Linked DNA regions of Danio rerio. The protein of the gene in region 1 purifies or fractionates together with the protein of each later gene. This does not show direct contact. Links are inferred from orthologs where the notes say so. Each region holds a gene or a part of one and is shown in the gene's direction. Other genes may lie near its edges. The genes, in order: l3mbtl3 and samd13.

The links.
Region 2: the proteins of l3mbtl3 (region 1) and samd13 purify together in Homo sapiens (affinity purification with mass spectrometry; 3 studies listed by BioGRID and IntAct, counting the BioPlex papers as one, with this or other methods). This does not show direct contact. The link is inferred for Danio rerio from reciprocal best matches to the Homo sapiens genes L3MBTL3 and SAMD13.

The regions. Positions count from the first base shown.
Region 1 is NC_133195.1:2,235,962-2,239,790, forward strand, and holds part of l3mbtl3 (lethal(3)malignant brain tumor-like protein 3), read left to right. Parts: intron 1-708; coding exon 709-860; intron 861-1,117; coding exon 1,118-1,194; intron 1,195-3,829. UniProt on the Homo sapiens protein: Is a negative regulator of Notch target genes expression, required for RBPJ-mediated transcriptional repression. It recruits KDM1A to Notch-responsive elements and promotes KDM1A-mediated H3K4me demethylation.
Region 2 is NC_133186.1:8,332,038-8,336,521, forward strand, and holds the start of samd13 (sterile alpha motif domain-containing protein 13), read left to right. Parts: upstream 1-1,453; 5' UTR 1,454-1,574; intron 1,575-2,273; exon of another isoform or gene 2,274-2,290; 5' UTR 2,291-2,461; intron 2,462-2,562; exon of another isoform or gene 2,563-2,565; 5' UTR 2,566-2,567; coding exon 2,568-2,605; intron 2,606-3,645; coding exon 3,646-3,757; intron 3,758-4,484.

The DNA.
Region 1 (3,829 bases):
TAAAAAAAATACCAAGGAAATGTGTGTAAACTTTAGACTGTCTAGAAATTAATAGAAAATTCTCAGAAAGAAAAAATTATCTTATTATTCTGGCATTTAGCAAATGTAAATAATTCAGGTAATCCTTACAGATCTAAAATAGTAAACGTTTAGTATGATTTACCATCAGACATCTTTTAAAATGGTTATGTTCCTTTTTTTAGAGTGTGTGTAAACTGCTGGTTTCAACTGTATGTAGAGTTAAAGTCCACATAAACCTGAAGCTGTGACGCAGTTTCTGGAGAAACTGTATATAAAAATGAGTAAACAGTGGGTGTGGCTTGTTTTTTCTACTGCAAGCTGATTGGCTGTAGTAAAGTAGGCGTTTCATTCAGAAAGACTGGAAAAAGGGTTTGGGGAGAGTTATTACAGCTTACAGACTCCTCCTGTTCACCATTTCTGTGTGTTGTCTAAACTGACCGCTGGAGGGGCGTGGTTATGTATGTTAGCCCCGCCCAACACCTCAGACAGACCTAATCTGAGAATTTAACTAACAACAAACAGGAAGTGCATTAAAGACTCCAAGAGCAATCTGTTGTTTTCTTTCTTATTGACATGCACAGATGAATTGTTCACCACTAAACTAGCAGTGTGAGCTAACAGAATCATTATGGTTGCTTTTAGATTTCATGTACTTTAATATAGTGTGTGTTTGTGTGTGTCCTCCAGACGGTGACTCCATCAGGTTTCAGGGTTGGCATGAAGCTGGAGGCCGTCTGCAGGAAAGATCCTACTTTCATCTGCGTCGCCACGGTTACGGACATGGTGGACAGCCGCTTCCTGGTGCACTTTGACAACTGGGAGGAAAGTTACGACTACTGGTAAATTCCCCATGACGACGCTCTGAAGTGTGTGATAATGACATTTCCTGCACACAATCACACTCAAATGATTTGCTGTCCTGTGATTTATTTTTTTATTTTTTTTATTTTTCAATTATAAGTCAAAAGCTCAGTGTGTTTAATAATACATGTATCAAGAATGCTTAAAGCCTTACTTTATGCTGCATGACATAGATATTGATTGTTGTTTTGCTAGTTGTATTGAGGTACATGTGTGTGTTTCTTCTTTTGTGCAGGTGTGATGCCACCAGTCCTTATATTCACCCAGTTGGCTGGTGTCAGGAGAACGGCAGGACCCTCAGCACCCCTCCAGGTCAGTAAACACATCCACACCAGTCTCAGGCTCTCTAATATTCAGTTAAAGTCAAAAATACTACCCTCATTTGATTTCTTTTTCAAATATTTCCCAAAAGATGTGTAACAGATTCAGGAATTTTTCACAGTATTTCCTATAATACTTTTTCTTCTGGCGATAGTCTTATTAGTTTTATTTTTATCAGTTTTAAATTTATTAAAAAAACATTTTAAGGTCAATATTAATAGTCCCCTTAATCAATATTTGTTTTGTCTTAGACAAACCACTGTTTGCCTAATTAACTTTAATTAACTTTTAACTTTGAGGGCCCTATCATGCACCCGGCGCAATGTGGCACAAGGCACAACGCAATAGTTGTTTGCTAGTTTCAGCTTGGCGCAAGAGTCGTTTTGACATTTTGCACCACGCTGTTTAAATAGCAAATGCATTTGCGCTCATACGTGCGCCCATAGGCGTTCCGGTCTAATAAAGGAGGTGTGTTTAGATGCATTGCTGGCGTGTTGCTATTTTAAGGAACTATAATAGACTGCACAATATACCAGATCAAAGCAGGTCTATAGTCCAGCGCAGAGCGTGTTAGTTGTGCGCCTCTCTTAAACATTGCTTAATACAGACATGATGTACAGCAATACGCAAATATCTTTACATATGAAAAAGAGTTAAAGGATTAAAATATTACAAAACATATTATTTTCTAGCCTACATAAATATAAAAATCACTGCCTTCATGCTTTCTTCATCTCAGGCGGCTTTTTCAGTTTATTCATGACAATTTGCTTTTGTATAATGTTATTATTATTAGCAGTATTATTTATTATATGCATATTTATATTTGTTTTTAATAAAAAAACAAGCTTAGATTTGTCCACCTGTCAGGTTTTAGACCATATGGGGCTCAGCATGTGTATTAGGACATAACTCAGGTTTTTGAACACACTTCGTTGTTATTGTTCATTTATTCATTTGCTGGAAATTAGAACTGAATTTAGAAACAGTTTTGAAACTAATCTTTGCGCTTAACAAACAAAATTAATTATGTAAAGGCTAATGGATGTCTGCGTACAACACCTTTCCCTATTCACTAAAGTGAATGTGAAAGTAAATAATGAGGAGGCTCATCTCTTATTCTCCCCTGCAGATGCTCTGTTTAACTGTTTTCTCGCCATTGAAGCGTTCAGTTTACAAAGTCTGCCATGTAAATACCAAATGCGCTTATGCCGCGACCCAACTGACTCTTTAAAGGGGATGGGAGATGAGACTATGGTTCATTCTCATAAAATACACCTATAACTCATTAAGAAAATAAGCTTAACCCTGTTAGACCATGCGCCATGGCGCAAAGCGGATTTTCCCATACTTTAAATAGCAAAAGTGGATTCGGACACGCCCTTAATGCCTTTGCGCCCTGCGCTTTGGACTTTGTGCATGGACTTTCAAAATAGAGCCCTAGATGTCACTTTAAGCTGTATAGAAGTGTCTTGAAGAATATCCAGTCAAATATTATGTGCTGTCATCATGGCAAAGATCAAATAAATCAGTTATTAGAGATGAGTTATTAAAACTATTATGATTAGAAATGTGTTGACAAAATCTGCTCTCCGTTGAACAGAAATTGGGGAAAAAAATAAACACGGGGGCTAATAATTCTCACTTCAACTGTATGCCGTATTTTTCGTGTGTGTATGTGAGTAAAATACATGTACGGTACCTGATATGACTTATTATTGAATCAAATTTTGTGAATCATAATTAATTCGAACAGACAGAACTGAAGAGTGTGTATTTAAGAGGTTAGCTGCGTCCAACATCGCACACTTCCATACTATATTCATTCATTCATTCATTCATTTTCTTGTCGGCTTATTAGTTTTTCCCTTTATTAATCCGGGGTCGCCACAGCGGAATGGACCACCAACTTATCCAGCAAGTTTTTACACAGCGGATGCCCTTCCAGCCGCAACCCATCTCTGGGAAACATCCACACACACATTCACACACACACTCATACACTACAGACTAACATAGCCTACCCAATTGACCTGTACCGCATGTGTTTGGACTGTGGGGGAAACCCACGCGAAGGCAGGGAGAACATGCAAACTCCTCACAGAAACGCCAACTGAGCTGAGGTTCGAACCAGCAACCCAATGACCTTCTTGCTGTGAGGCGACAGCACTACCTACTGCGCCACTGCCTCGCCCATACCCATACTATATAGTATGCTGAAACAGTATGTGAGCCGAGTAGTATGTCTGGATTCATAGAATTGGAAAAACAGTATCTGAGAAGTTCCTGTATGACCTACTGCTTCCGGCGCATCGGGTGCACTCTATTCCATGATGCACCATGAAAGAATTCATGAATGGGAGTGAAGTGATGCAACTGGTCACGTGATCATGTTAAAATGCTGGATGTAGAACGTCCGAGCTCAATTCATACAACTGACATTCATCCAGTGTAGAATGTACTTTTGTAGCAGCCGAGTAGTGCATTTACATTCAAATGCAGAACCCACTGAGTTGTGGGTGATTTCAGACGCAACCTTCGAAAATCGAGATCAAAAATGGATCAAATCTTGTGAACTGTATTGAATTGTGAACTTTGTGTCAATGTCCAGCTTAACAATGGACCT
Region 2 (4,484 bases), on another chromosome or scaffold:
TTTTGAAAAGTTCAAGTTAAATGCTTTAATTAATAAAAGTACTTCTACCTCCTTTTACCTTCTCATGAGAGCAAAAAGCCTCAACTTACCTCACTCTCCCCCAGATTATAAAAAGACTGGTGAAAATAATATTGTTTGATTATTTTCATAGCTAGATAACTGTTGATGACAATAGGCCGCTTTAGCCAGAGCTAACTGTGCAAAATATTTGCCAAAAGTGGCCCACATTTGTTTTAGGATAACTGGGCCACATTTGCCATATCTTCTCTGGGCCAACTATAGGCTCAAATCCACATTAGTCATAGTTTACTGTGCCGAACATTGCCAAAAGTGGCACACAATTTGTTTTAAGATAACTGGGCAACATTTTCCATATCTTCTCTGGGCCACCATATACTAACGGCTGCATTAGCCAGAGTTTACTGTGCCGAATATTTGCCAAGCTGGCCCACATATGTTTTAAAATAACTGGGCCACATTTGCCATATTTTCTCTGGGCCACATTAGACTGCCAGATTACCCTTAAATGATTATGCCACATTTGTCCTCCATCATTTGCGCCAAATTTATCATTTTCCACATGGGCCACATTAGGCTCGCATTCAGATTACATTTTGCCATAAAAGGCAAATCTTTGACTTAAATGGCCCATACATGAATTAGAATTTTTGGCCCCCCCTTTGCCGTTGTACAGGTGGGTCACTTCGGGCCGGGCTCACATTCATTTTGTCTGGGCCGAAGGAAGACCACCAGTGCCGCATAACTGCCTAAAGTGGCCCACATTATGCAATCTGGGTAACAACAGTTTTGGCTTCTTTGGAAAATAAATAAATAAATCTAATAAAGCTATTGAAGTCTCAATCAAAATCATTGATAATTGCTATCCAATAAATACTAAACTAGCTAAATTTAATAACAATATTTCCCCTAAATACTCATTTTGTACTCACTATGATGAAACACTAAATAATTTATTTTGGAGTGTACTTACTGTAAAGTGTTTTAGGTTGACTTTTTTTATTTCAATTTCATTGAAAAATTATTATCTCCAAAATTTTGTATTTCCTCAACAAAACTTGTATTCTTTACTCTCTGAACTATTATTAATTTATTGCTTTTTTGCTAAATTTTACATCCATGAATGTAAATTTTCAAAAAATAAAATAAAAAAACACCCTTACTTTTTATTTTTAGAGAGGACTTTGATGTATATGTGAACTCCTTAAAAAGTTTAACAATTATATTGCGTGTAAAACTCTTTCTCGGTGTAAATTATTTAAACTAGTTTAATTTGCTGGAATTTTATCAATTTAACCCTTTTTGTCTCTTTGTTTATTTTCTATTGCATAATAAAAAATAGTTTTCATCAAAACAAAAATCTGGAAGTAAGGAAGTAGGTTAAACGAGTAGCTCACGCTTGTGACCAACTACATTTCCCATCGTTCTAGACTACATTACCCATGAACCCCTGCGTCTGCATTTGTTGGATTGTACTGGAAAAAAGCGTAATATTGTATCAATGATCTTCAACCAGTAATATTAACACCATCTACATAAAACATCTAAAAAAATTGGTAAGATTTTCATCCAAACTGTTTAAAATGTTGATTGTGTTTTCTTTGGAAAACGGTAAATGGAATAAATGTTCAGTTAATGAAAGCTAGCAAGCTAATGAGTTTATCATCTGCTTTATTAATCGTCACATTATTTAATTCGTCATTAAAACACTTGTAAAATACAAAATTTATGTTTCGATTGTATTTTAGGCTACTCTTGTTTAGCCTGTCAGATTGCAGCTTCCGTCATTAGTTACATTTAGTCTTGTTGTAAATATGTATTTCGAAAGCTACGGTAAATGATTAAAAATCAAGTAAACTTTGCTTACAAAAATATTGGATGATTTATAATTAATTGAACAGCTTTTCTATGTGTTACTAGCGATGGCTGTCATTTTGTATATCGTGTTTTTCTTCATTGACGCTGAACCTGTCAAACCAGCTCCGTTGTGAAGCAAACCGCTTAACGTTAAGTTACATCTTAAAATGTCAGCAGTTCTCTTTGGTTTTAATATTTTGGCGAAGTGGAAATCTTTTTACTTTAAAATAACGTTCTTTATTTGTATAAACATAGCTAATAAGTACTAGTATAGATTATAATACTTGTTATTCTCTAGGGTTTTTTTGTGGTTTCAAAATTTGGTTTACTCAATTGATAGATTGCATTGTTAAAAAACGTCAGTTTACTGAATGAGTTTTTGATCAATTTCCTTGTAGTAATACGTGTCTATTAGTGTTTTGCAGCTACCACAACAATTATTCATAAACTTGGAGGTCTACTATACATGTTTATTGACAATGGGGTCAGTTTGGCACAGCGGGAGACTGAAGAAGATGGCATGAGCAGCACAAGAGGATAGAACACCTTTAATGGAATAGAGCAGCCTCATCTTTCTGACAAACAGGTGAGCGATAGTCGAGTTGTTGTTGAAATGAATAAATATGGTGTTATTGGTTGTTTTTTTAAGTGATTAATTTTTTTTCTTATTTTTTGTGTGTTATTCAGCAGTCATGGAAACCAAGGAAAATGGTTCAGTGGAGACCAAAAAGTAAGTTTATGTTATATCATTATGATAGTCTCTAATAAATCTTCAATACTTATTGTTTAAATGCTGGGGGTTATTGTTTTTTTTTTTTTTTTTTTTTAAGGATTTTAAATGAAAGGCTTGTTGCACTTCGTTTTAATTGTCCCTTTACACATTCTGCAATTTAGGAACACACATGCAATTACAAAAAATGCCAGTAAATAAAGAAAAGATCTTCATCTGTTTGACAGCACACGTGCTGCAAATCCTTACAATCGCAAACACTTAAAAAAAATAATAATAATAATTCGCTGCATTTTCAAATATAGCAAACAAATTAATGAAACGAGCTGCATTTTCTCACAACACAGACTATTTATGAAAAACATGTTGTTAGTATATGAAAAATGTAATTATTTATCTAGAATGTACTTTTAAAAAGTTGTTGATGTTGTACAAAAAGGTTGTCCTCTGGAGACCCTCAGTGTCCAAATGTATAGTACACTAAGCTCGTCAGTGCCCGAAGTCGTGCACACGACCTACTGATTCACAACCTCTGAAGATAGGGAACAGGGAAAATTAAGTTTGATCTGTTCACGTTTAAATAATTTAAATAAAAAATTTGTAGACATTCGAGCACAGTGCAAAAAATCTACTTTTATCATCCTCTGCCACTTAACATAAGCTGCTGTATAATGTTTTGATGGTCTTTCACTTTTTACACAATTTTTGTGTGAAGTTTTTTGTTTCCATGTGTCAGATTACATATGTTAGGTTATAATAACTCTACTGAAAATCACTTTTCCTGATCTTTCAGAATGAAATGCCTACTTTACTACATCCAATCAGTTTGCTGTAGAAAAACAAGCCACGATCAAGTTCAGTTAAATTAGGAACTGCGTCACAATACAAAAAAATGGTTCATGTGGATTTTAAGGGATGCTTATAACTGCGATTTTAAGCCAAATAAAGTCATACCATATATCTTGTGGATTGTATAGGCATTCAGTCTTTGATTAAATCAAATTGGGGTATCATTTAAAGATTTTTCTCTTCCTAAATAGTTCTGTGGAGAATGGGCAGCTTACTGATCCAGCCCACTGGGCCGTAGCGGATGTGGTCAATTATTTTAAAGCGACAGGGTTTGAGGAGCAAGCCAACGCTTTCCAGGATCAGGTAGAGCTCATAATCATATTCATAATATCTTCAAAAGTCTTTATGGCAAGTATATTTATTGATAATTAAGTTGGATACTTTAAATTCTTTATTATTTTTCAGTTAAGTTTGATCAAATGTGTGTATTTATTGTACTGTATGTGATAATCATGCGCTAATGTTTGTGCTAATGTCGCATCATGACTTGCATTTACATGTCTGTATAATAAGTTTATGTTATTTATTATTGGTCGACCCGCTGGCTCAGTTACACTGAAACATCTGGCACACTTTACCACACAGCTACCATTTTAAGAACATTTGTAATAATTAATGACAAGTCTGTTGCCACACAGGTTATGTGTTTCATACACTGACAGTTTTGTTTGAAACTGACAGCTAGATGTCTGAAATATGTTAACAGTTTTATGAAGCTATCCAAATTTTCCACTGTTAAAGGAACACTATACGTTTTTTAAAAATAGCCCCATTTTACCATCCCCCTAGAGTTGAACAGTTGGGTTTTACCATTTTTTTAAATCTGTTCAGCTGATCTGTTTGTCTGCCAGGAACACTTTTAGCTTAGCTTAGCATAAGACAAAACTAATAGTCTAATTAATCTATTAGCATCTTGTATATATCTTGTATCAATATATCTTGACTCTTCTGTTGTTACATTGTTTACTAAAACCTTGAAGACATAGTCTAGGGTGATAAAATTGGAACTGTACTCTCATTCTGTAATGAC